7 linked regions of the Callithrix jacchus genome follow. The protein of the gene in region 2 interacts with the protein of the main gene of each other region in a biochemical or structural test. Links are inferred from orthologs where the notes say so. Each region holds a gene or a part of one and is shown on either strand. Other genes may lie near its edges. The genes, in order: SRC, ESR1, FOXO1, CDKN1A, PRMT2, AHR and TBP.

Region 1 (3,500 bases), on a different chromosome or scaffold from region 2:
AGTTACCCTGGTGAAGTGGCCAGGGAAGAGCATTTGGGCAGTGGGAACCACATGTGCGAAAGTCTTGTGGCTGCAGTGATCTTCCAGCCATCTCTCCTTCAAACCTGCCGCTATATGGCCACTTTTAGCACCTTTCCTCAGCGTCGGACACATATTTATTCAACGAATCCTCAGTGAGCCCCCTCCATGTGCTAGGTGCCTGGGACACAGGTGTGGGTCAGATACTGTCCCTGACCAGGAGAAAGGGAAACAGTGACTCAGGGAGAGGTGGGTGGGTAAGGTCAGGGCTTCTGATTATGAGGCATTTCTTCCGTTCCTGGCCCTGGATGGAGGAAGCCCTTTATGGATGGATGCCATCCTTAAGCTCATTTTACAGATGAAGATACTGAGGTTCTGAGAGGCCAACTCATCCAAAGAGGCTGGTGCCCACCGCCTTTTTTTTCTTTTTCTTTTTATCTTCCTTTCTTCCCTTTTCTCTTTTCTTTTCTTTCTTGACGGAGTCTTGCTCTGTTGCCCAAGCTGGAGTGCACTGGGAGGATCTTGGCTCACTGCAGCCTCCGTCCCAGGTTCAAGCAATTCTCCTGCCTCAGCCTCCTGAGTAGCTGGGACTACAGGTTCGTGCCACCATGCCCGGCTAGTTTTTGTATTTTTAGTAGAGACAAGGTTTCTGCATGTTGGCCAGGCTGGTCTTGAACTCTAGACCTCAAGTAATCTGCCCACCTCGGCCTCCCAAAGTGCTGGGATTACAGGCGTGAGCCACCGCGCCTGGCCCTGGTGCCCCTCTTTGGGCCTCGTTTTCCCCAGCTGTGGATTGGGTGGGAGGGAGGCCGGCCAAGGGGTCCCGGCAGCCCTGCCTGTCCTAGCGTCTCCTCCACTCCAGGGTCCCCTCTCTCTCCAGCCAGGACCATGGGCAGCAACAAGAGCAAGCCCAAGGATGCCAGCCAGCGGCGCCGCAGCCTGGAGCCCTCCGAGAACGCGCACGGAGCCGGCGGGGGCGCTTTCCCCGCTTCGCAGACCCCCAGCAAGCCAGCCTCGGCCGACGGCCACCGCGGTCCCAGCGCGGCCTTCGCCCCCGCGGCCGCCGAGCCCAAGCTGTTCGGAGGCTTCAACTCCTCGGACACCGTCACCTCCCCGCAGAGGGCGGGCCCGCTGGCCGGTCAGTGCGCGGGCGGCGCAGGGTCCTCGCCCTGCTGGGCCACAGCGGGGCGGCGGCGGCGGCGGCGGGGCGGCGTGCCCGGGATCGCCCCCTCTGTGCGGGCCCTTCTTCCCGCCAGGAGGCTCGCCCCTGGGTGACCTGGGTGTGCCGGGAGGGCCGTGCCCACAGCGAGTTCCCCAGCGCCGCCGCCGCCGCCTTTGGGGTGGAGTAGGCGCAGAGGACGCGGGGACTGGTGGTGGTGTCTTAGTGGGACGTTGAGGCCCAGAGAGGGGGGCGGCGCGGGGACCGGGCCTGAGGCTGCTGCCTGGCGCCCAGGCCTTTTTCGTTGCCCGGGTCCGCCCAGAGGCCCAGAGATGAGTAGGGAAGTGCGACCTGCGTGCGGCGGAGGGGCCGCAGGATTGCTCGGGGAACCGGGCGCCGGCGGCCCGGGTTGGGCCCGCGCCAGGATGCATGCGCCTGTGCGCCCTCTGCTGGCGGTCTGCGGGCACGGCAGCCCCCGTCGAGGGCCGTTTGGAGAGCCGCGTCTGTGGCCCAGACACTCCACGCAGGCTTCACTCAGACCGGTGCACTCTCCCCACACGCTCACACGCGTCTGCACCCCTGCCCCGGACACGCACACGTGCGGAGTGGAGGCAGGGTCACAGACACTCGCAGATACATACCCAAAGCAGACGTACCCAGACGCAAACTCACATGCATAGGTGACCTCACGCTCCTAGAGGAAGACAGACGTACATGCCGTCAGACGCTCATTCAGAGACACACACAGGACACAGACAGGCGCAGCTGGAAATCACCATCGTGGCCGCGCAGACGACAGATGCACACATGTGCATTGAGAACATGCAGGCATGCAGAGACACACTGACAGCCCTGGACCCCTCAGACGCATGCCCAAGTGAGACAGACCCACAGACACACCATTCATTTGTTCAAGTTTAGGTGGAGCCCGACTACGAGCCAGGTCTCCTCTGCTGCCCGGGACCCAGCAGTGCAGACAGAACCCACATGGGGGAGGGAAGCAAAGGGCAGGTGTGCAGGCTGTGCAGGGTGTTAGAAGTGGTGCTGCCGCAAAGGTGCAAAACGGGCAGGGAGGGAGGGAGGACTGGGGGATGTGTGGAGGTGAAGGCTGTAGCTTAAAATGGAGGCATGGGGGGGCTTTTTGAGGGGGCAGTTACTAGGAGCCAAATCTTCCTGGACACCCAGGAGTGCCCAGAGTGACAAGCTTGAGCGAGAGAGCAAGCTTCCCTGGTGCAGTGGTCTTCATTCACTGCTGCATCCAGCCCACAGCTCTCTCTTGAGCACCTACTATGTGCTTGACTCTGGGAACAAAACAGAGATGCTTGCTATTGGGTACTTCTGGTCCTAGAGCAAGACAGGCACCAAACAGATAAGCCAGCACCTAGCACTGCCCAAAGCCCCTGGGGTGCATGCAGACAGGGAGGGACTCTCATGCCCCCACAGGGCCTTGCAGGGATTCGCAGACACACGGATGCGGTGGACACGTGCACAGGTCCATCCTCACTGAACGCGACCGTGTCTTTGGGCTGGGCACTTGTGGCGTGTGGGAGACAAACCCCCACTCCTGGGCTCAGGACCCTCCTGTCCACGCCTTGCCTGGCCGTGGCCCCACTGTTCTGACGTACCCCACCCCTCTCTGCAGGTGGAGTGACCACCTTTGTGGCCCTCTATGACTATGAGTCTAGGACGGAGACAGACCTGTCCTTCAAGAAAGGCGAGCGGCTCCAGATCGTCAACAACACGTGAGTGGCCCCTTCCCCATTGCCCCTCAGGGCTGGGTGCTGGAACCTGAAAGCTGGTGGGGGCTGATGCAGAATCTGCCATCGGGGCAGCGCAGTGCAGAGCCCAGGGCAGCACGGAGGGAGCCAGGCACCTGCTGCTCTCCTGCCCTGGGCAGCACCTGCTGTCTCCCCAGCCTCGGGAAACTCCTCCCAATCCCTGGCTCTCGCTTGCTCTCTCCAGCCCTCTCTCAGCTTCTCCCTCTCTCTGCTTCTCTCTTGCTGGCCCTTAGGAGGAAGGTGGATGTCAGGTGTGTACGTGCTCCGTGGGTGGCGGGCTGGGTGGGTGCTTCTCAGGGGGCGGGGCCGCTGTCTGCATGTGCTTCCTCTCCCTGCCTGTGGTCTCCGGCTCTCTGGCTGCTCCTCACCTCCCAGCTTCTCCTCTCTCCACCACCAGTGTGACCAGGTCCTGGACCGTAACCCCAGGCTGTGATCAGGGGCCCCTCCATTGCGCTCTGCTGCACACTTCCTCCCATCCCCCTCCCTACTCACCCACCCTTCCATTCTGCCCCATCAGCCCACCCAAATGTCTGCTGCATGCAGGC
Region 2 (3,500 bases):
GGAAGAAAGTAACCATAGCATCTCAAAGCTAAATGATGTGACCCGCACGTAAATTCTCTGAACATCCAGTATGACACTCAGGAGGACAGTACAAATAAAAAAGCTAAGAATCACATAGTAAAGCTTAGCCGAACTGACTAAAGGCACCAGCCTAATTTGTAAGGTAAAAATAAGAATAATCAAAATAGCATTTTGGTTTGTATAGATAAAAACAACTATACAGTTGCCTGATTTTTTATTTTCCACTGAATATATAATATTTTAGGCCATTAGCTCTCTTTTTCTTTGAATTCAATCCACAGTAAGAAATACATTTTACATCACAATCAGCACACAGAAGCATGTATAATTAAAACAGATTTTCAGGAAACAAAACTTATCCTTACTAAATACCACACATTCTGATATTTTCTATTATATTCCTTTCTGTTTTATTCCTTTTAAAAGAATATCCTAGACTCACTAAACTGGTTTCATGACCCTCTGGGTCATGACAAGCAGTTTGAAAATACTGCTTTCAGTCTCAAAACTTTTGATAACTACTTAAGAAACGTAAAGTTCCCTAAAAGAGGCTAACCGATCCTTTCCTTTACACTCAGAGTTACTTAAGCAGAAAAACTAAGAGGGGAAAAATGCTAAATAACATCTGTCCTTATGAAGAATTGCATAGATCCTTCTTTTCCTTGCTGGTTAATAAGAGGCAGAATTCTAACAACAGAGGAAAGACTTTCCAGGAAACAAAACACAGGAAAAACTGAAAATTTCTAAAACTGAATTTCCACACAGAGTCCTATTTTTGTAAGTTTTTTTTTAAACTTTTAAGTTCCTTGTCTTTTTTATTATTCTAAGAGTATCTGAATATCATTTGATGCAAAAAAAAATGTAAGATAGGGCATATTACACTGATACTGCTTATCACTGGGATGATGAACAATTTTGAAAAAGATGTGATCCCCTCTGTATTTGACCAGATTCACTTCGTAATTATTAGCAAGGCAGTAAATAATCCACCAAGGAGCAGTCTCATTAGTGCCCATTGAAATTCAGTGGCATTAATTTGCAATAAAAGAACTGAAAATTAAATAGGAAAAAATGGTTTCTGGATTCCATCATAAGGTTATGGAATTCACATCATACCAATGCCTTCCTTCACATCAAGGAGTTTAGAATGTTGTGTGGAATTAGACTTAATAGCTGTATTTTATTCTTCCATTTAAAAAAAAGGTGGGCAGAAGAAATCCTTTCTCTCTATTTTAATCCTAAATTAAAAGAAGTAAAATTAATTTGAAATACGCCAACTTTTAAAAGTTTTGTTCATTGTTTGTCTTTTATGTAAAGACAGCTTGAACCTGTGTGGCTGTGGGATGTTCTAAATTCCTCTAAAGTGGCTGAAGATGCACGCTGGAAACCCCCAGAATCTGCCCTTCAGCACCTTCTGGGACCAACCTGCACCTTAGTCCCCTTCTAAGATCCTTCTGCTATAAAGATCCCTGGAAATAGAACACTGAACAAAAAATGGTCCACAGCTTACAAAGCAGAAAGATGTGGGGACACCAGTCCAGACACCAGTGTACAGTTGGGAAATGCCTAATTCTGCACCAGCCATGTGGTGCCCTGAAGCTCCCAAACCCAGTCCAGGGTACACCTGTCCTGTGGCCACCTAGGCAGGTGTTCACCGGAAACACCCACCTAATCCCTCTGCAGGCCCATCAGGAAAAAAAAAAAAAAAAAAAAAGGAGAAACTGGACAAGGGAAAATGGGAGGAATGGGAGAGGGAGACAGAACAACTCTTGTTGGAAAAAAAAATTAAAAGGAGTATACAAAACCTTCACATCGAAGTCACAAAGTGTTCTCCCATGTCCTGGACCGGCCGCGCTCCTTCCACAGTGGCTGCGAGGCGCAGACCCCGCTGACCCCGTAGGACACTCCGGGGTATTCTCCCCAGATGGGACAGGCTCGTCCCTGGGCTGCCGGGAGATTATTTTTAAGCATTCGTGCTTCCATACGGCTAATTTTAAAATCGCGGGACACCTACAAATTTCCGGCTGTCAGAAGTCACATGCCAGCCACCGGCTCCAGCGCGGACTCAGACAGCTAACTCTGAAATCAGAAACTTGCTGTGACCCATTCAACTCCCAATCGCTTTCTAAAACCCCAGGACGTGGGGTGGGGAGGAGGGGAATCGCTTCCCAGAAAGTCATCACAGCAGACAAATTTCCAATCAAAGACTCTAAATGAAAGGAAATTTGGGGGCCACATTAAACAAAAACATTAAAAGGCTAAATAAAACTCCGCTGAGCTCCGCTAACTCCAAACAACCCCAGCTTTAAATGCCAAGCGCGGGACCTTCCCAAGTGACTCAAGGCACCTCATGTTTATTTGCCTGGAGGTGTTTTCCCCCACAAATAACTGCTGCTTTGTCTGGTTTTCCAACGTGTGTTTAGTTAGGAAGCCCCGGGCGTTCAGGTCTGCCTCTCGCACCGACTGTAGATGGGTGGAGAGCGCGTTTTTTTCAGCTGCCCTGCGAGAGAACTTGGCTCTGAACGCATCGCGGGCTGCACGCAGAACCCCCGGGCGAGCTGCACGCCCCGGGTTCCCTGAGCGCGCCCTCGGGTCGCGCGTCCCGCGGCTCCCTCGGCTCCCCCGGCTCCCCCGGCTCCCTCCCTCCCGCCGGGCGCGGCGGCCACCCCGACGACGGGCGGCGCGGGCGCGGGTACCTGTAGAACGCCGGCGGGCCGGCCTCGCGCACCGTGTAGCCGCTGGGCTCGTTCTCCAGGTAGTAGGGCACCTGCTGGCCGTGGGGCTGCAGGAAGGGCGACAGCTGCGGCGGCGGGTGCAGCAGCATCAGCGGGCTCGGAGACACGCTGTTGAGTGTGGGGAACCCCCCCAGGCCGTTGGAGCCGAACGCCGCCGCCTCGGACCCGGGGCCATAAGGGAGGCCAGACTGGCCATAGACCTGCGCGTTGGCGGCGGCCGCGGCGTTGAACTCGTAGGCGGCGCCCTCGGGGTAGTTGTACACGGCGGGCTTGCCGCTGTCCACGTACACCTCGCCCAGGGGCCGCTCCAGGGGGATCTTGAGCTGCGGACGATTCAGGGGCTCCAGCTCGTTCCCCTGGATCTGGTGCAGAAGGGCCATCCCGGACGCTTTGGTGTGAAGGGTCATGGTCATGGTCCGAGGCCGCCGGCAGGGCGCAGATCGGATCCCCGCAGTGCTGAAGGCTCAGAAGCCGTTGGGCCACCTGGAAAAAGAGCACAGCCCGCGGTTAGAGGCGGCGCAGCGCATGTCCTGCCGAGACGCGACTCGAGCTCGGGCCCCGGCCCTGCCCCGGGAGCCGGAGGGTCCGGTGGAGTCTGGCGACCCGATGGGAGCAAGTGCAGTCCCGGGACCAACGCCCTCCGCCAGCTCCCGCGCTCCCGGGCCTCCAACTTTAAGTACTGGTCTCCCGAGCTCATATGCATTACAAAGGTGCTGGAAGATGGCCAGGGACTGTTGCCTTGCC
Region 3 (4,216 bases), on a different chromosome or scaffold from region 2:
CTGTCCTTTTGGGCAAGATATTAAAAACCTTACTGTCCATCTTCTATTCTGAGTGGTCCCATCCCTCTAAAAGGAAATGCCTTCCATATTCTTCCTAAAAAAGCAAAGGCATAACAAAACAAAACTGGAAAACTGTTTCTTCTGCTCCCTGAGACACAAGGGCCATTATCTTCCTACCTTTGGCCCCACTGATCCTTGACAGGATGTCCTGGACCTGCAGCCCAGATGAGGAAAGATGGGGTGTGGGTGGGGGTTTGACTGACGCACACAGCAAGTAGCCTCAAGAACTTGGGGGTGGGGCAGGCTGCGCCCCAAGGCTTTGGTCCTATCCCCCGCCCCCCCCCGCCGTTTTTACTTAACACCCGATCACTTCCGTTGTAAATATAAAATAACAAACAGTTAAATTTAATTAGGGGTAGGTAGTAAAGTGTCTTGGTTCTCGATAACTGCGTTCCTAAGCCCTTCGCTGCGGGCCCTGAACTCAGTGGACGAAGCTGGAAGTTCCCGCCCAGGGGAAGAAGTTCCCACGGAGGGCAGGCGGTTGCGGGTGCCTTTGGATCCCTGTCTGCACTGAGACCGGAGTACCTCCTCCGGGCGCCGGAGTCCCAGTTCCTCACGTTTAGCCCTTTAAAAAAGGTCAAGGATACAGTAAATCCGGCTGGGGGCTGCTCGGCTGGGCGACGCGTCCGCAGCTAGACAGAAAGGCACAGGCTGAGCCCGGGGGTGCGGACAGGTGGGCGCGGGGCGCGGAGAAGGCACCCTAGGCGCGGACTCCACCGCGGGGGGCCGCGGCGCCTGGGGCGGGGGGCGCGTGCCGCCCGTGCGGGGGCCGGAGGACTTGACAGATCGCAGCGAAAGAAAACATTCAACCAAAACAAAACCCAGCGATTCCCCACGTTGCTCAGCAAAGACTTCGTGGGTGGAGCCAGGAGGGAGCTACTGGGTAGAATTCTGCGCGGCCGCCTCCGCCCGTCCACCCCGCGCCCCCGGCCCCCGGCCCTGCCCGCTCGCGGGACTCGGCCCGCAGCCGAGGTCAGGGCGTAGCGAGCGCCTCGTCCCACCCGGGCTTCCAGAGTACTCGGCTCTGCAGCTCCGTAGTAAACAAAGTGTCGCCGCCACCTCCACGCTGGTTTGCTTCCTAGCAATCAAAACACTGAGAAGGCGAGAGAATCACAGAAACACTCGAGAATTACCAGAAAATAACAGAGATCCAAAAAAAATAAAAAAGGTGTGTGAAAGAGAAAAACACCCCGCTACCCCCACCAGCCCACTGCCGCCTCCCGGCGGAAAACCGGGCCCCGCCCAGCCCGGAGCGCACTGGCTGCCCGGGCGGCGGTGCCGCGTGCCCATTGGCTGCGCGAACTGTCGGTCAGGGGCGGGCCGGCGCGCGCGTCGCCGCGGGCGGGGGGCGGCGGCAGATCCCGTAAGTCGGGCGGCCTCGTAGTTGCTGCAGCCGCCGCCGCCGCCGCCGCCACATTCAACAGGCAGCAGCGCAGCGGGCGCGCCGCCGGGCAAAGCGAGCGGCCGCGGCGTCCGTCCGTCCTTCCGTCCGCGGCCCTGTCAGCGGGAGCGCGGCGCAGGCTGTGCCCCGGCTCGGCGGCTCCGGCCCGCCGTCCAGTCCGTGCGGCAGACCCCGAGGAGCCTGGATGTGGATGGCCCCGCGAAGTTAAGTTCTGGGCTCGCGCCTGCACCCCGCCGCGCCTTCCTCCCAGTGTCCGTCCGCTCGGCGCACCGGCTTCGTCCCCCCAAATCCCGGACCGTCTCTTCGCGCCCCCTCGCCCTCTGCCCCCGGTGCTGCGCTCTTCCCCTCTCGGCTCTCTCGCGGCTGGGGGAGGGGCGGGGGTCACCATGGCCGAAGCGCCCCAGGTGGTGGAGATCGACCCGGACTTCGAGCCGCTGCCCCGGCCGCGCTCGTGCACCTGGCCGCTGCCCAGGCCGGAGTTTAGCCAGTCCAGTTCGGCCACCTCCAGCCCGGCGCCGTCGGGCGGCGCGGCTGCCAATCCCGACGCCGCGGCGGGCCTGCCCTCGGCCTCGGCGGCCGCTGTCAGCGCTGAGTTCATGAGCAACCTGAGCCTGCTGGAGGAGAACGAGGACTTCCCGCAGGCGCCCGGCTCCGTGGCGGCGGCGGTGGCGGCGGCTGCCGTGGCCGCCGCCGGGGGACTGTGCGGGGACTTCCAGGGCCCGGAGGCGGGCTGCCTGCACCCAGCGCCGCCGCAGCCCCCGCCGCCCGGGCCGCTGCCGCAGCACCCACCAGTGCCCCCCGCCGCCGCCGGGCCGCTCGCGGGACAGCCGCGCAAGAGCAGCTCGTCCCGCCGCAACGCGTGGGGCAACCTGTCCTACGCTGACCTCATCACCAAGGCCATCGAGAGTTCGGCGGAGAAGCGGCTCACGCTGTCGCAGATCTACGAGTGGATGGTCAAGAGCGTGCCCTACTTCAAGGATAAGGGTGACAGCAACAGCTCCGCGGGCTGGAAGGTGAGCGGCCTCGGCGCGCGGCCGGACCTTGGGGGCGCGGTGGGGCAGGCGAGGGCGCAGCTGTGCAGGTTTGCTCGGCCCGAGGGTGCGGGGCAGGAGGGCAGCGCGTGCCTAGGAGGGCGGGCGCGAATCGGTGGTCGCAGTGGGCTCGCCCGGGTCCGTCCGGGACCGCAGTAGGTGTGCGCGCGCGCCAGAGTCCGCGTGGGACGCGGACAGGGGTTCGTTGGGGAACTAAGTAAAGAACGTGCGTCAAGAAGTGGACGTCAGAGCGGCCGAAAAGTTTGCCAGTGAAAGGAGAAAGGGGTTCGCTGGGAGCGGCACCCCCACGGCCCGCGCTGACTGCTTCGGCTGCCCCTTCCCTCCTTGACCTCCGCGGGGCGAGGGCGGGTCCTCTCCCGCCGCGCCGCGAGGCTGTTTCCGCCGGGCGCGGCGGGGGAGGGCACGGAAAGGGTCCCCGGAGCCTCCCTGCCCCGGGACGGGGCTGCAGGTGGAGGGGACTGGCAGAGCGCGATCGGCTGGGGACGGTGTAAGTCCGGCCACGCAGTTTCGGGAGGCGGTGCGCATTTTGCTTTGTTTTGGTTTTCTCCGGAGTGGCCTCGAGTTCAGGGGGCCGGGCGTCCCGATCCCGAGGTGGCGCCTCCGACACGTGCGAAGGGGCGGCCACCGCCTGCGGAGCGCCGGCGCCCGGCCGCGCGGGGCGAGCTAAAGTTCAAGTGTGACCCTCGGCGGGGGCGGGCGCGGGCGGTGACGAGGGAGGGGCTCTGGGCGCAGGAAGCTAGTGCCTTTAAAGGGCCAGCGCGTCCGGGTCGGGCGCCTTGGGGCCCGCGCTTCCCCATGGGGGAAGCGCCCGAATCTGGTCTTGCCCCTGGTACGAGGCTTTTAGTTAGAAACACAGAGGCTGCCCTGGGGTGCCGGGGGCTGGGATGTGTGCGTCTTTTCCTGCCTTGCTCTACCCTATTCTTGAGCGGGGAGGTCCAGATGGGGGAGCTGGGGGCCAGACGAGGGGCTTTGCGACCAGTGTTTTGACGGAGTCGGAGTGGCGGTGCGCGTTGAGGGAGCGGAGCCTGGAAGGAGGATTTTTGCCTTTCAGAACGTGGCCAGGAGGCACTTCAGCGTGGGGGCAGGCACTTACCGACTCCGAGGAGGGCCTCGGCTAGGTCCGGGGAGGCTTCCCGGGGGCGAGGTCCAGTCGCCGCGCGGCCTCCCCAAGCTGACAGTTTCTCACTGTCACCGGTGGCAGAACTGCTGTAAAGGCTGACTAGTTGAGTAAACACTGTTTTTTGAGACGGAGTCTCGCTCTGTCGCCAGGCTGGAGTGCAGTGGTGCGATCTTGGCTCACTGCAACCTCCGACTCCCTGGTTCACGCGATTCTCTGCCTCAGCCTTCCGAGTAGCCGGGATTACAGGCAGGAACCACCACGCCCAGCTAATTTTTGTATTTTTAGTAGAGACGGCGTTTTACCATGTTGACCAGAATGGTCTCGATCTCCTGACTTCGTGATCCGCCCACCTCGGCCTCCCAAAATGTTGGGGATAACAGGCGTGAGCCACTGCGCCCGGCCGAGCTAAACACCTTTTAAAACAAACTTTCCTCGCCTCTCTTGTCGACTGTATAGCATAATAAAGATTGGTGTTTGCTGCGCAGTTGTTAAACCAAGGTTATTTTACATAGTGTCGTCCCTGTGGTTAAAGCGTGTCAAAAAGGTTAAGTTACTCACACCGTATTGAAGCTCCTGGAGGAG
Region 4 (3,135 bases), about 110 Mb from region 2:
ACATTGCATAAGGACTAAATAAATCTACCTTAGAAGCCTGGCAAAAGGCCTGGCATAATATAAGGTCCCCACCAATGTTAGCTAGTTGGTCTTGGCTGCCTACTTGCTGTGTGACCTCTGGGTCTGTTCCCTTCTACCTAAGGAGCACACTAGACCAGGACCGGACAGGTCAGCCCTTGGACCATGGACTCTGAGAATCCTGGTCCCTTACAATGTCCTTCCCTGCACCTGTCCTCACCTGTCATGCTGGTCTGCCGCCGTTTTCGACCCTCAGAGTCTCCAGGTCCACCTGGGGACTCCTCAGGCCGCTCCCCTGAGTGAGGCATTAGGGTGCAAGACAGCGACAGGTCCACGTGGTCTTCCTCCGCTGTCCCCTGCAGCAGAGCAGGCGAGGTGCCAGGCCGCCTGCCTCCTCCCAGGGGCCCTTTGGGAAGGCAGATCTTGGGCAGGCCAAGGCCCCACACACGCTCCCAGGCGAAGTCACCCTCCAGTGGTGTCTCAGTGACAAAGTCGAAGTTCCATCGCTCACGGGCCTCCTTGATGCAGCCTGCCATCAGTGCATCACAGTCGCGTCTCAGCTGCTCGCTGTCCACTGGGCCGAAGAGGCAGCGGCGGGCCTTGCTGCTGGATGGGTTCGGACGGACATCCCCAGCCTGTTCTGACATGGTGCCTGCAGCAGAGACACAAGGAAGGCCCTGGTCACCGCGGAAACTGGACACTACACTACCTGGCTGGGCTTTGCTGTGCCACCTCATGAGGTCTTCCTACCACAGGGTCTCTCTGACTCCTTCCAGCTGGTCTTCCTGCCTCCATCTCACAGGAGGCCTGACCCCCACCAGCAGAGCTCAGCCAGCCTGTCACCCCAAGGTCACTGGGGGAGCAGGCAGCTGAAGGGCAAGCTAATGTCAACAAAGTCAAGTTTATTGCAAAAGCGAGGATCAGGGTCCTGTTTACCACCAGGTATTATCAGCTAAAATCAATTTGTTTTCCCCCCGAGGTGTCCCTCATGGGTGTGAATGCCCCCAAATACGTGTGAATTGCCAGAGTCCAGCAGTTTCTGAATCCCAGCCCTGGCCAGGAGGTCAGTTCCCAAATAAACAGTCTGACAGTTCCTCCAGCCTCCTGAACCCCCACCCAGATGCCCGAGTAGGGTAACCCTACTCAGCCGAGTAAAAGTACCCTGGACTCTGGGGCAAAAAGCACCTGGGTTGTGGTCCTAGCTCTGCCACTTACTACCTAAGTTTTAAAAAGCCACTTACTGTCTCTAGGTCTCAGTTTCCTCACCCATAAAGGGGGCCATGTGCAAGTTTAAAGAGCATGGCTGGGCTGGGCATGGTGGCTCACGCCTGTAATCCCAGCACTTTGGGAGGCCAAGGTGGGCGGATCACCTGAGGTCCAGAGTTTGAGATCAGCCTGACAAACATGGAGAAATGCCATCTCTACTAAAAATACAAAATAAGCTGGGTGTGGTGGCACATGCCTCTAATCCCAGCTACTCAGGAGGCTGAGCCAGGAGAATCTCTCAAATCCAGGAGGCGAAGGTTGTGGTGAGCCAAAATCGTGCCATTGCACTCCAGCCTCGGCAACAAGAGCAAAACTCTGTCTCAAAAAAAAAAAAAAAAAAGAGCATGGCTGTGGACACATACTCAAGCAATTGATTGGGGAGTCCACCCAGCAAGGCAGATGGAACAGAGCTGAATGAAAGGCTGTATCTTGGGGGCTAAGCGGAAAGGCTCTGGAGCCAGATCGCCTGGGTTGAAGTCCAGGTTTTACTAAATGACCCTGGACAAGCAACTTAACTTGTCTGAGCTCTATTTTCCTCATCTGTGAAATGGAGATAGTAATGGTGACTGTCTCAGAGGATAGATGTGAGGATTAACTGAGTTAATGTAGGTAAGGTGCCAGCAGCACTTCATATACAGAAGTGCTTGGAAAATGGAAGTGTGATTATTTCTGTCTGCCTTCAGTTTTACTGAGCCTCCTCCCTATCACTTCCCCCTGCCAATGATCCCCTTCAGACAGCAGCTGACAGGTGCTGTAGGCTGAAGCCCTTTCCCAAGGATGTCATCAGGCGGGTGGCCTAGGGGTAAGGAGGGGCTGGGCGGGGCTGGGCAGGGCGGGGCAGAAGATAATTTCTCCCAGGCTGAGCCACATCCTGCCAGGCACATCAGGTGATCTGAAGTCTAGACACCTGGCAGCCCCTGCCCGGTGCTGCCTGTGTCCAAGGAACTCGTTTTGCAGACAAAGAAAATTAAAGGTGGCTGATCTACCTGGCTCCTCTCCTCCCACTTCAGGAGAGGGAAAACCAAGGGTGAGTTTGCCAATGAGGGAGCCCTGGCACCTAGCTGCCCGCTCTGGCTTGACTCCAGGACTGAGGGACTGCACGACCTTGGCAGCAACTGGGTTTTCCTAGGGACAAGTCCCAACTTGCAGGCTCTAGGGGGTGAAATCTCTGCTGAGTGTTCCTGAGGCAGGAAGCCTGGGACACATGCCACATCTGCTCCATCCCACCTCACCCCACTGCTTGTGATCAGTTTCACGTCCCAGCTGGTTGGGAGAGGAGGTGCTTGGTAACCTCACACCAAGTTTAAAGGGCAGGAGATGGAAGAGATACGAGACTTGCCCCCAAGTCATACAGCTAAAAAGGCCAAAGGCCACTGCCCCATAAAGGAGTCACACAGTACAGTGGACAGAGCCCTCAAGGAACCTCTGTCTACCCTCTCCTAGGCATGAGTTGGGATTCATTTGTATATTTTCATGTATGGGGGCTGTTCTAAGCAGTTTAAAAATGTCAATCCTCTAAAAAGTGAATAGCTATTTGCTCCCTTTTTACAGCAGAGGTAACAAAGGCTCAGAGAAGTTAAGCAACTTGTCCAGTGTCACACAGTTCATAAATGGCAGAGTCAGGATCTGAACACAGGCCTGTTTGCCCTGAGTCCTGTGCTCTAGTATTGAACCTACTCCCTCTCTAATTTTGAGGTTTCTTAACCAGAGAGTCCCATCAGAATCAGTTGGGGAGGCCAGGGGCAGTGGCTCACACCTGTAATCTAATACTCTGGGAGGCTAAGGTGGGGGAATCATTTGAGCCCAGGGGTTCAAGACCAGCCTGAGCAACACAGAGAGACCCTATCTCTA
Region 5 (3,500 bases), on a different chromosome or scaffold from region 2:
TCATATTATTTGTCCATTTCTTTTGATTTTTGTTGATTCATATGTTAAGTAATTTAGCCTGAATTTGTGAATTTTTGTGACTTTGTGAATTTTTTCCCCCACAGAACATTTTTCTTTGTATAGCCGAATAGGTTGTTCTTTCCTTTGTGAAAAACCTTTCCTCGCCGTAAGATTATAAATACCCACACCTTTTTTGATTCTGTGTTATTTTATTTTTACTTTTTATGTTTTTTAGGGATGGGGTCACTTTGTTAAGTCATAGCTTACTGTGGGTTCCTGGATTAGGGGATCCTGTCACCTCAGCTTCCCAAAGTGCGGGGATTATAGGGGTGAGGCACCCCACCTGGCCTTATCCTCTTTTAAACAATGAGATTTTAAATCAATCTTGAATTTATTTGTTATAAAAAATATAATGTAAAATTCCACCCTTATTTATGCCCACAAATATCCAGCCACCCCAGCCTCCGTTACTGGACGGTTCCTTCCCACTGATGTGAAATGCTGTGTTTGTGGTGCTCTGGATGTCAGGGGTCTGCTTGAGAATTCCTGTTGACTCACTGGTCTGTTTACTTCTCTGCGGCGCCCGGTGCTTCATCATTGCACCTTTGTAGGATCTGCAAGAGCTAGGTCTCCAGCAGTCCCCCCCGCACTTTTTTTAAAAAGCATTCTCCTCATTAGCCTTGGGCACTTCTTGTTTTGAAACTGTTTTTATTGTCATTTTGTTGTGCTTCCTCCTCCATGCAGATTGGCTGGCATTTTAGTAGGCACTGCATGGAATGTTGATGTTAATTTTGGGAGAAATGACGTGTCTATAACGTTGACTCTCAGTTTCCTGTTAGTTAAGCTTTGTTTAATATCTCTTAGCATTTTAAGGTTTGTCTCATACACGGTTGTGCACCTTTCTTGTTAAATCTATTCGTAGACATTTTTTATTATGACTGTTACAAGGGGTTGGGTGAAGTGTCAGGCCTTCCACAGTCTTACTGATTTTTCTATTTCTGTCAGTTACTGAGAGCGCAGTGTTGAAATCTCTGACGATAATTGTGAATTTGTCTGTTTCTTCTTGCATCTGTATTGGATTTGCTGTGTGTATTCTGAAGACCTGTTATTAGGTACAGAAGTATTTAGAATAATCACGTGCTCTGGGTGAATTGATTCTGTGTTGACGTGTTGCTCTGAACTGGGTTCTGTTGGTGCTGACGCAGCTGCTCCTGCTCTGTCTTCATGGGTGTTGGCACCATAGGCCTCTCCCATCCTTTGCTTCCGGGCAGGAGAATTGGGCCTTGCTTTGTGGTCTATGCCCCCCACCTCCTCCTGCCGGTCCCTTTGTTTTTTATTCTGCAGAGTCTTGGGAGGCTCCATGGTGAGCTCTGAGGACCTTGTGCAGGCTCCTGTCTGCTGGCTGTCCTCACTCTGAGGACCTTGTGCAGGCTCCTGGTCTGGGCGCTGTCCTCACTCTGCTCCCGCCTGCTACCTGTCTTCTTCCTGGTGATGCTGTTTCTAGGCTGGGCCTTCTGTAGCTTGAGAGTCTTGGTGGGAGGGGTGCAGCCTTACCTGCAGCCCATGGCTTTTCAGGCTGCCCTGAGCAAGCCTCTCTCTGCCTCCTTGCGGGATGGCTGATTCTCATGTGAGTATCCTTGGGTTTCAGGCATTTTTCTCCCTCAGGAAATGGCTGGGCCTCTCGCTTATCCCTCAGGACATGAGGGGCAAGTTCATGGACAGAGGACTTTGGGGGACCCCCTGCCCACCTGCGCTGGCGTTTCTCCCATGGCGTATCCGCAGTTTTCTCTAGTCAGACACCTGGCACTGGGGAGTCTGGTTGGGTTGCGGTGGTCCCTCCTGCCTCAGGTGGGCATGGGTGGTCCAGGCGACATTGCACCCCTATGTGCAGCGGTCCCTCTTGCCTCTCTGCTTGCCGGCCATGCTGTGCTGAGCTGAGGGACTCACAGGCCTGTATTTTTGCTCTTTTCAGATGGGGTGGCAGGGTCAAGCGTCATCAGCTGTGGCCCTGACCCTCATCTCAGTCAGGACTCGGCATGGCTCTGGGTCAAGGCAGTGATTCTGAATGTGCATTTCTCCCAGAAACTGCACTTGGAAATGTTGGCAGACCAGCCGCGCACAACTAAGTACCACAGTGTCATCCTGCAGAACAAGGAGTCCCTGACGGACAAGGTCATCCTGGACGTCGGCTGTGGCACTGGGATCATCAGTCTTTTCTGCGCACATTATGCACGGCCTAAAGTGGTGAGTGGGGTCTCCAGCTTGTCCCAGGTGTGCGTCAAGGCCGGTGATGTCCGACATGGCCTCTGAGATGCCGACTCGTGACCCTGTGCTGTTGGGGGCTCACTGGTGACTACGTCCTTGCACGTGGGGCTCAGGGTCGGTAAAACAGCAGTGTTGAGACTCCATGCTAGAGGCTGTGGCGCCGGCATAAAGAGCCACAAACAGCATGGACAGGAACAGGGCAGAATAGAAAATATCCCATGAATTGCATGGGGCAGGGTATGTTCTGTGAGACATTTATTTCAGTTGAGTAGAGAAACAGGTGCACCCACATGTCTGTGCTTGGCCTTGGCTGTGGACAGCCTCATGGGGATGTGATGAATCCACATGCTGGCCCCCTTCCTACCCTTCTTTGGCCATCTGTGCTGTGCTAGCTGAGCCAAACAGCAGCCTTGGAGGCTCCTGACATGGTGGGTGGGATCTCAGCACAGTGACCACCCAGGGCCATGCTCTGCAGGACCCAGCGCTTGGGCGCTTCCCACCAGACCCTTCCCTATGAACCTGGGTTTGAAACTGTCTCACAGGCCTCAGATGTGGCACAGACCAGCACTGTCACTTGGGTGCTCAGCACTCGCTGTGCCAGTCATGGATTAAGCTTGCTGTGTGTGTGGCAGCCAGCCCGGGCATTCGAGTCTTCAGGCCACCTGCAGCCCTGCGTCTGCGTCTTGTGTAGGAGGTAGGGGCAGTCGGGAGGGTTAGAGGTGGCACCTTTCTAGGTATCCCGGAGGGGCAGGTGTGGCCCAGCCCTCGCTGTCTCCGGCTGTCTGGAATGCTGCTTCCCTGTTGTGTTGTTGACCGTTTCTCATGGTGCTGGTGGTGTTGACTCAGGAGAGAGTGGATGACGGGCCCCATGCAGGCCGGGCATGCACTGATGGTGCTTCTGCTGCAGGTGTACGCGGTGGAGGCCAGCGAGATGGCACAGCACACGGGGCAGCTGGTCCTGCAGAATGGCTTCGCCGACATCATCACTGTGTTCCAGCAGAAGGTGGAGGATGTGGTGCTCCCTGAGAAGGTGGATGTGCTGGTGTCCGAGTGGATGGGGACCTGCCTGCTGGTGAGGGCGGGCGTGCGGGCAGCGGGGGGCCGGGGTTCGGGGGGCTTCTGAGCACAGGCTTGGCTGGGCCAACCTCAGGATCTCAAGAGTGACACGTGATTCATTTTGATTTTTTCCCCTAATGTGAGGTATGATTAATTTCTTGTGTGGACATTGGCTCAGT
Region 6 (3,500 bases), on a different chromosome or scaffold from region 2:
GTCTGCTCATTATTATTTTCTTCCTTCTACCTTCTTTGAGTATAATATATAATTTTTTCTAACTTTTAAAAATATATATACTTAAACATTATATCAGTTTCCCTTTAAGTACAACACTTAAACTACAACCCTCATCTTTTGCTGTCTTATTTTTATTATTTAATTGAAAATACTGGCTAATTTTCTTTTCATTTGATTTTTATTAGTGAATTATTTATAAATACGGTGTTACTCTACTTTTTGATGTTTGGGGATTTTTCTAGTTGCCTTTTTGTGATTGACTTTTAGTTTAATTCCATTGTAGTCAGAAAACATTCCCTGAGTGGACTTCAGGTTTTTTGAAATTTGTGGTGGCTTATTTTATAATCTAACACATGGTCTGTGTTGGTAAAATATCCCATGTAATCCTGTAAAGAATACATGTTCTGTCTTTTGGGAGTTCATATGTCCATACATGTGTTGATATTTTGTGTGCTTCTGTTATAAGACATGTTTGTTGTTTCATTTATTTATTACTAATGAGGGAGGGTATCTTGTTACATCTTTCTAGGACACTTTTCTTTTTTGAATTACAAGTTTGTATTATCATTTACCTGTTTTTCTTGAGTTGCTTGACTCTCTCTTAGACTCTATTGGAGCTTTTTACCTATTATAGATATGAAATTTTATATATATATTATAAATACATTATATATGTTAAAAATATTTTCTTTATGCCTTAAGAATTCTCTTGCAAAAATACAAACACTTTAATTAATACTAAATAATTTTCATATTACCAAGTATACCAGTAATGTCTTTATAGTTTCTGGGTTTTACTAGAGAGGTTAGTTGTTTCAGATTCTTAAATTTCTAATTCATAAACTTTTTAATTTTGTTTTGAGATGGGATCTTACTCTATCACCTAGGCTGGAATGCAGTGGCACAAATATGGCTCATTAAGGTTAGGGTTAGGGTTAACCTCCAGGCTCAGGCAATCCTCCTGCCTCAGCTTCACCAGTAGCCAATACTGTAGGCATGTGCCACCATGCCCAGCTAACTTTTATTATTTTGCAGAGGTAGGGGTCTCACCATGTTGCCCAGGTTGGTTTCAAAATCTTGGGCTCAACAAATCGCACACATCTGCCTCCCAAAGTGCTGCAATTACAGGCATGTACCACCACACCTGGCCCCTAAATTCTTATAGTCTGTTTTTATGTGTAGATCTTTATTCCACACAAACTTATTTTTTCTACAGGATGTCAGGTAGGGATATAACCTGACCATGGAATTAACTAAGTTAATTTTTAACAATTAAATTATTTAAACATGCTTGTCTGAAAAACAATTTTATGGCACTACTCATGAGAATAATTGAGGTGAAAATAAAATATGTCCCCTTCTGAATTCAATTATGTATTTTGCTTGTTTTTCTTTTTGTAATTATATTTATTTTTAAATGTTTATGATATAATTTTTATTAAGACTTTTTTATACACAATTTTAGAGATGAGGAAGGAAATGAGCATTTACGAAAACGAAATACGAAGTTGCCTTTTATGTTTACCACTGGAGAAGCTGTATTGTATGAAGTAACCAACCCTTTTCCTGCCATAATGGATCCCTTACCACTAAGGACTAAAAATGGCACGAGTGGAAAAGATTCTGCTACCAAATCAACTCTAAACAAGGAGTGTCTCAATCCTAGTTCCCTCCTGGCTGCCATGATGCAACAAGATGAGTCTATTTATCTCTATCCTGCTTCAAGTACTTCATGTACTGCACCTTTTGACAACAATTTTTTTAATGAATCTATGAATGAATGCAGAAATTGGCAAGATAATACTGCATCAATGGGAAATGATACTATCCTGAAACATGAGCAAATTGACCAGTCTCAGGATGTAAACTCATTTGCTGGAGGTCACCCAGGGCTCTTTCAAGATAGTAAAAACACTGACTTATACAGCATTATGAAAAACCTAGGCATTGATCTTGAAGACATCAAACACATGCAGAATGAAAAATTTTTCAGAAATGATTTTTCTGGTGAGGTTGACTTCAGAGACATTGACTTAACAGATGAAATCCTGACATATATCCAAGATTCTTTAAATAAGTCTGCCTTCGTACCTTCAGATTACCAACAGCAACAGTCACTGGCCCTGAACTCAAGCTGTATGGTACAGGAACACCTACAGCTAGAACAGCAACAGCAGCAACAGCATCACCAGAAGCAAGTAGTAGTGGAGCCACAGCAACAACTGTGTCAGAAAATGAAGCATATGCAAGTCAATGGCATGTTTGCAAACTGGAACTCTACCCAATTTGTGCCTTTCAGTTGTCCTCAGCAAGACCTCCAACAGTATAATGTCTTTTCAGACGTACATGGGATCAATCAAGAGTTTCCCTACAAATCTGAGATTGATCCTATGCCTTATACACAGAACTTTATTTCCTGTAATCAGTCTGTATTACCACAACATTCCAAATGTACAGAGTTGGACTATCCTATGGGGAGTTTTGAACCATCCCCATACTCCACTACTTCTAGTTTAGAACAATTTGTCACTTGTTTACAAGTTCCTGAAAACCAACACCATGGATTAAATCCACAGTCAGCCATAGTAACCCCTCAGACATGTTATGCTGGGTCTGTGTCGATGTATCAGTGCCAGCCAGAACCTCAGCACACCCATGTGGGTCAGATGCAGTACAGTCCAGTACTGCCAGGTCAACAGGCATTTTTAAACAAGGTAAGGGTATTAACAAACTGAATGAATCTTTCAGTGATTCTTGTCACCGTATAAATAGACATGTTACACATTTTTTATGTCCGCTGATTTTAATCTATTATCTACAGCATTCATGGAGACAGCATTTTTCATTATATCTGTGACTACCTTTTTTTTCATAAGCCTGTACTTTTTCCAGTATGTTACTAATACATCACTCACCTGAGTCATGAGGGAGAAAGGTGTCAAGGGCTAAAGCAACATAAATGTGTCCTTAATGTAAGATGACCTAAATTAGCAAGTGAAATTAGTTTTTAAAAGTATTACATTTAAAATGGGTAATTTGGTTGATTCTTTCTGGATTCTTTAAAAATTATATGGCTTTTTAAAAATTCAAACTTTATAAACATATTGCAATTTTTAAGAATAGTTTCTTCCCGGCTCTATTTTTTTGGATGTGTTTGAAATTGAGTTAGACTCAAATGTAAGTGTGCTTTCTTATAATGCCTTTGTCCTAGATTATATCCCTGGAATTAAGTCCTAGGCCTCCATGTTCTCTAGCTATTCCTCACATTACCTGCCCTATCTTCATTTTATCCTTTAAGGCAGAATTGCTTTGTTTCTTTTCTGGCTTTCTTAAAAGAGGTAACTCAGCTAGCTTTCTGTCATGGAAATCAAGCTTGACAGTATATTTTTATTGTTTAAATGTGTCATCAGAATCCTTCTAGCAGTGAATACACTTTAAATCTAAAAATGATCACTTAAATAAAAAAAAGGTAACAGAAA
Region 7 (2,639 bases), about 19 Mb from region 2:
CACTTGAGGTCAGGAGTTCAAGAGCAGCCTGGCCAACATGGTGAAACCTGTGTCTACTGAAAATACAAAATTAGCTGGACGTGGTGGTACACACCTGTAATCCCAGCTACACGGGAGGTTAAAGCAGGAGAATCACTTAAAACTAGGAGGAGATTCTTAATTCTTATAATTCTTAATATATATACCCCCACACACACCAATAGTCCATTCAGTCAGACAGCTTAATCAGGTATAAGTTAATTCACAGACTAGTATATCACTTTGGTTAAATTTCCTGACCACAGTTAACAGCTAGAGAATATTTCAATTTAAGGAGGTGAGATATGATTAACAGTTAAACTGTCAGTATCAGATCTTAGAAGTAAATGATTATTAGGACTGTAAAAGTAAATGATTGTCATCAGAGACTGCAGACATAAATACAGGGCTCTTTTTCTTAAATCAGAAAATCCAGATTGAATAGAAATAGAGTAAAGTATAAAAGGACAAATAGCCTCCCATCCAGTGGTTATCAAGTGATGACTGCAAGTCGGCCTCAGTGGCTTTAATTATTCTGTCCTTGATGTTGCTTGAAGAACTGTGCTTTACCTATTGACTAGTTTGTTTGTTTATTCAGTTATTTTTCCTTGTACAGGTCCTCATTTTATCTAAAAGCATGGAAGTCTCTTAATTTCTAAACTGTTTTCACAATTTTCCTTCCAGTTATGAGCCTGAGTTATTTCCTGGTTTAATCTACAGAATGATCAAACCCAGAATTGTTCTTCTTATTTTTGTTTCTGGAAAAGTTGTATTAACAGGTAAGTTGTAACAGAAAGTGGTATCTGAATGTTTGTAAGTTATGGCATTTTGTCAGTGCTGAAAATAAATTTCCCTGTTGGCACAGTGGGCTAGCTTCTTTTACAAAGGCCTCCCACCCAAAGTCTGATGAGAAACATGCCCACTAGAGCCACATTGAGAGCAGGGAAGTCTGACCACAGCCCTGCAAGTAGACTTCATTTACAGCGGGAGGTGAGCACTGTATTGAATAAAAGATGGCGTTTTCACTTGGAATTAGTTATCTGAAGCTTTAGGATTCTTCAGCAATATGATGACAAGACAAGAAAGGAAGATTCAGAAAAGAGCTTAGTTGAAGACAGCAATTGGGAGAATAAGATTTGGTTGTTTTCATTGCTGTTCTGCTTGGTTTATGGCCTGGTTCAGGACCAAGGAGAGAAGTATGAGGACATGCCTCTTGAGCTATAGAATGAGACACTAGAATCACTAAAATGACTGTTTAAAAGTACTGTTTTATAAACCAAAATAAGATTGTGACAGGCGATTCCACCATTAGTGGTTTCATGCCTGTGCCTGAATCTGACTGGGTATGTTGAGATTTGTGCTTGCAGCGTTGTTTAAAGGTAATAATTTTCCCTGCTTAATATGTTAAGAAATGCCATTTCAGTCTCTTATCTCTACTCCAACTTGTCTTCTTAGGTGCTAAAGTCAGAGCAGAAATTTATGAAGCATTTGAAAACATCTACCCTATTCTAAAGGGGTTCAGGAAAACGACGTAATGGTTGTCATCTACCCTTACCTCCCCCACCCACTTGTTTTTTTAAAACAAATCAGTTTGTTTTGGTACCTTTACATGGTGGTGGTGTGAGGAGATGGATGCTGAGTTGCAGGTTGTGGCACCAGGTGATGCCCTTCTGTAAGTGCCCACCACGGGATGCCGGGAAGGGGCATTATTTGTGCACTGAGAACACCGCGCAGCATGACTGTGAGTCGCTCATACTGTGCTGCTATTTGGGCAGCGCTGCCCATTTATTTATACATAGATTTTAAACACTGCTGTTGACAGTTGGTTTGAGGGACAAAACTTTTAAGGTTAAAGCCACCTCTACAATTGATTGGACTTTTTAATTTTAATGTTTTTCCCCATGAACCACAGTTTTTATATTTCTACCAGAAAAGTAAAAATCTTTTTAAAAAGTGTTGTTTTCTAATTTATAACTCCTAGGGGTTATTTCTGTGCCAGACACATTCCGCCTCTCCAGTATTGCAGGACAGAATACATGTGTTAATGAAAATGAATGGCTGTACATATTTTTTCTTCCTTCAGAGTACTCTGTACAATAAATGCAGTTTATGAAAGTGTTAGATTGCTGTTATGATACCTTGTAAGAGTCATGTGATCACACTGTTTTCTAAAAAGTTGTATTTTAGATATAACATCTGAAGCCATTTTGGTGTTTGCTTGTTTGTTTGAGTCAATATTTCATTGTATGCTGCAATGAAAACACAGTAATGATCTAAGAACTCACAGTTGCTCAGGAAATGTGTATTTACTGCCTTCCATATTTTGAGCAACTGTTGTTTTCTAGGTACTTTGCATACAGTGCCGGGAATCCTCACAAAGCTGCAGTTAGGTTTTGTTCCTGTATTAGAGGTGAGGAGATACAGGCCCCAGCTGAGGGACCTGGCTGAAGTTACACAGCTAGTAAGTGGTACAGATGGGCTCTGAGTGAGTCCTTCAGGTGTGGAAGCTGCTGTCCTATCCACAGGTTGCCATCTCTCTGCAGTAACAGTTTGTTTTTGTTTTTTTTCTCATGGAATATCAGGTGGACATGTGTGGGTTCTTAGGTTTTATTGTTAGGGTG

Evidence for each region.
Region 1: the proteins of ESR1 (region 2) and SRC form a complex in vitro, tested with the Homo sapiens proteins (3 studies listed by BioGRID). The link is inferred for Callithrix jacchus from reciprocal best matches to the Homo sapiens genes ESR1 and SRC.
Region 3: the proteins of ESR1 (region 2) and FOXO1 form a complex in vitro, tested with the Homo sapiens proteins (2 studies listed by BioGRID). The link is inferred for Callithrix jacchus from reciprocal best matches to the Homo sapiens genes ESR1 and FOXO1.
Region 4: the proteins of ESR1 (region 2) and CDKN1A form a complex in vitro, tested with the Homo sapiens proteins (2 studies listed by BioGRID). The link is inferred for Callithrix jacchus from reciprocal best matches to the Homo sapiens genes ESR1 and CDKN1A.
Region 5: the proteins of ESR1 (region 2) and PRMT2 form a complex in vitro, tested with the Homo sapiens proteins (2 studies listed by BioGRID and IntAct). The link is inferred for Callithrix jacchus from reciprocal best matches to the Homo sapiens genes ESR1 and PRMT2.
Region 6: the proteins of ESR1 (region 2) and AHR form a complex in vitro, tested with the Homo sapiens proteins (4 studies listed by BioGRID, with this or other methods). The link is inferred for Callithrix jacchus from reciprocal best matches to the Homo sapiens genes ESR1 and AHR.
Region 7: the proteins of ESR1 (region 2) and TBP form a complex in vitro, tested with the Homo sapiens proteins (2 studies listed by BioGRID). The link is inferred for Callithrix jacchus from reciprocal best matches to the Homo sapiens genes ESR1 and TBP.

Annotation. Positions count from the first base shown.
Region 1 is NC_133506.1:32,821,717-32,825,216, forward strand, and holds part of SRC (proto-oncogene tyrosine-protein kinase Src), read left to right. Parts: 5' UTR 1-614; intron 615-898; 5' UTR 899-906; coding exon 907-1,156; intron 1,157-2,818; exon of another isoform or gene 2,819-2,819; coding exon 2,820-2,919; intron 2,920-3,139; coding exon of another isoform or gene 3,140-3,188; coding exon 3,189-3,206; intron 3,207-3,500. UniProt on the Homo sapiens protein: Non-receptor protein tyrosine kinase which is activated following engagement of many different classes of cellular receptors including immune response receptors, integrins and other adhesion receptors, receptor protein tyrosine kinases, G protein-coupled receptors as well as cytokine receptors.
Region 2 is NC_133505.1:158,660,676-158,664,175, reverse strand, and holds part of ESR1 (estrogen receptor), read right to left. Parts: intron 3,240-3,500; 5' UTR 3,170-3,239; coding exon 2,718-3,169; intron 1-2,717.
Region 3 is NC_133506.1:159,848,055-159,852,270, reverse strand, and holds the start of FOXO1 (forkhead box protein O1), read left to right. Parts: upstream 1-1,416; 5' UTR 1,417-1,848; coding exon 1,849-2,475; intron 2,476-4,216. UniProt on the Homo sapiens protein: Transcription factor that is the main target of insulin signaling and regulates metabolic homeostasis in response to oxidative stress.
Region 4 is NC_133505.1:44,985,176-44,988,310, reverse strand, and holds part of CDKN1A (cyclin-dependent kinase inhibitor 1), read right to left. Parts: intron 671-3,135; coding exon of another isoform or gene 666-670; coding exon 239-665; intron 1-238. UniProt on the Homo sapiens protein: Plays an important role in controlling cell cycle progression and DNA damage-induced G2 arrest. Involved in p53/TP53 mediated inhibition of cellular proliferation in response to DNA damage.
Region 5 is NC_133522.1:52,221,362-52,224,861, forward strand, and holds part of PRMT2 (protein arginine N-methyltransferase 2), read left to right. Parts: intron 1-2,082; coding exon 2,083-2,244; intron 2,245-3,172; coding exon 3,173-3,337; intron 3,338-3,500. UniProt on the Homo sapiens protein: Arginine methyltransferase that methylates the guanidino nitrogens of arginyl residues in proteins such as STAT3, FBL, histone H4. Acts as a coactivator (with NCOA2) of the androgen receptor (AR)-mediated transactivation.
Region 6 is NC_133512.1:41,104,486-41,107,985, reverse strand, and holds part of AHR (aryl hydrocarbon receptor), read left to right. Parts: intron 1-1,486; coding exon 1,487-2,735; intron 2,736-3,500. UniProt on the Homo sapiens protein: Ligand-activated transcription factor that enables cells to adapt to changing conditions by sensing compounds from the environment, diet, microbiome and cellular metabolism, and which plays important roles in development, immunity and cancer.
Region 7 is NC_133505.1:177,196,179-177,198,817, forward strand, and holds the end of TBP (TATA-box-binding protein), read left to right. Parts: intron 1-702; coding exon 703-797; intron 798-1,473; coding exon 1,474-1,553; 3' UTR 1,554-2,139; downstream 2,140-2,639. UniProt on the Homo sapiens protein: The TFIID basal transcription factor complex plays a major role in the initiation of RNA polymerase II (Pol II)-dependent transcription.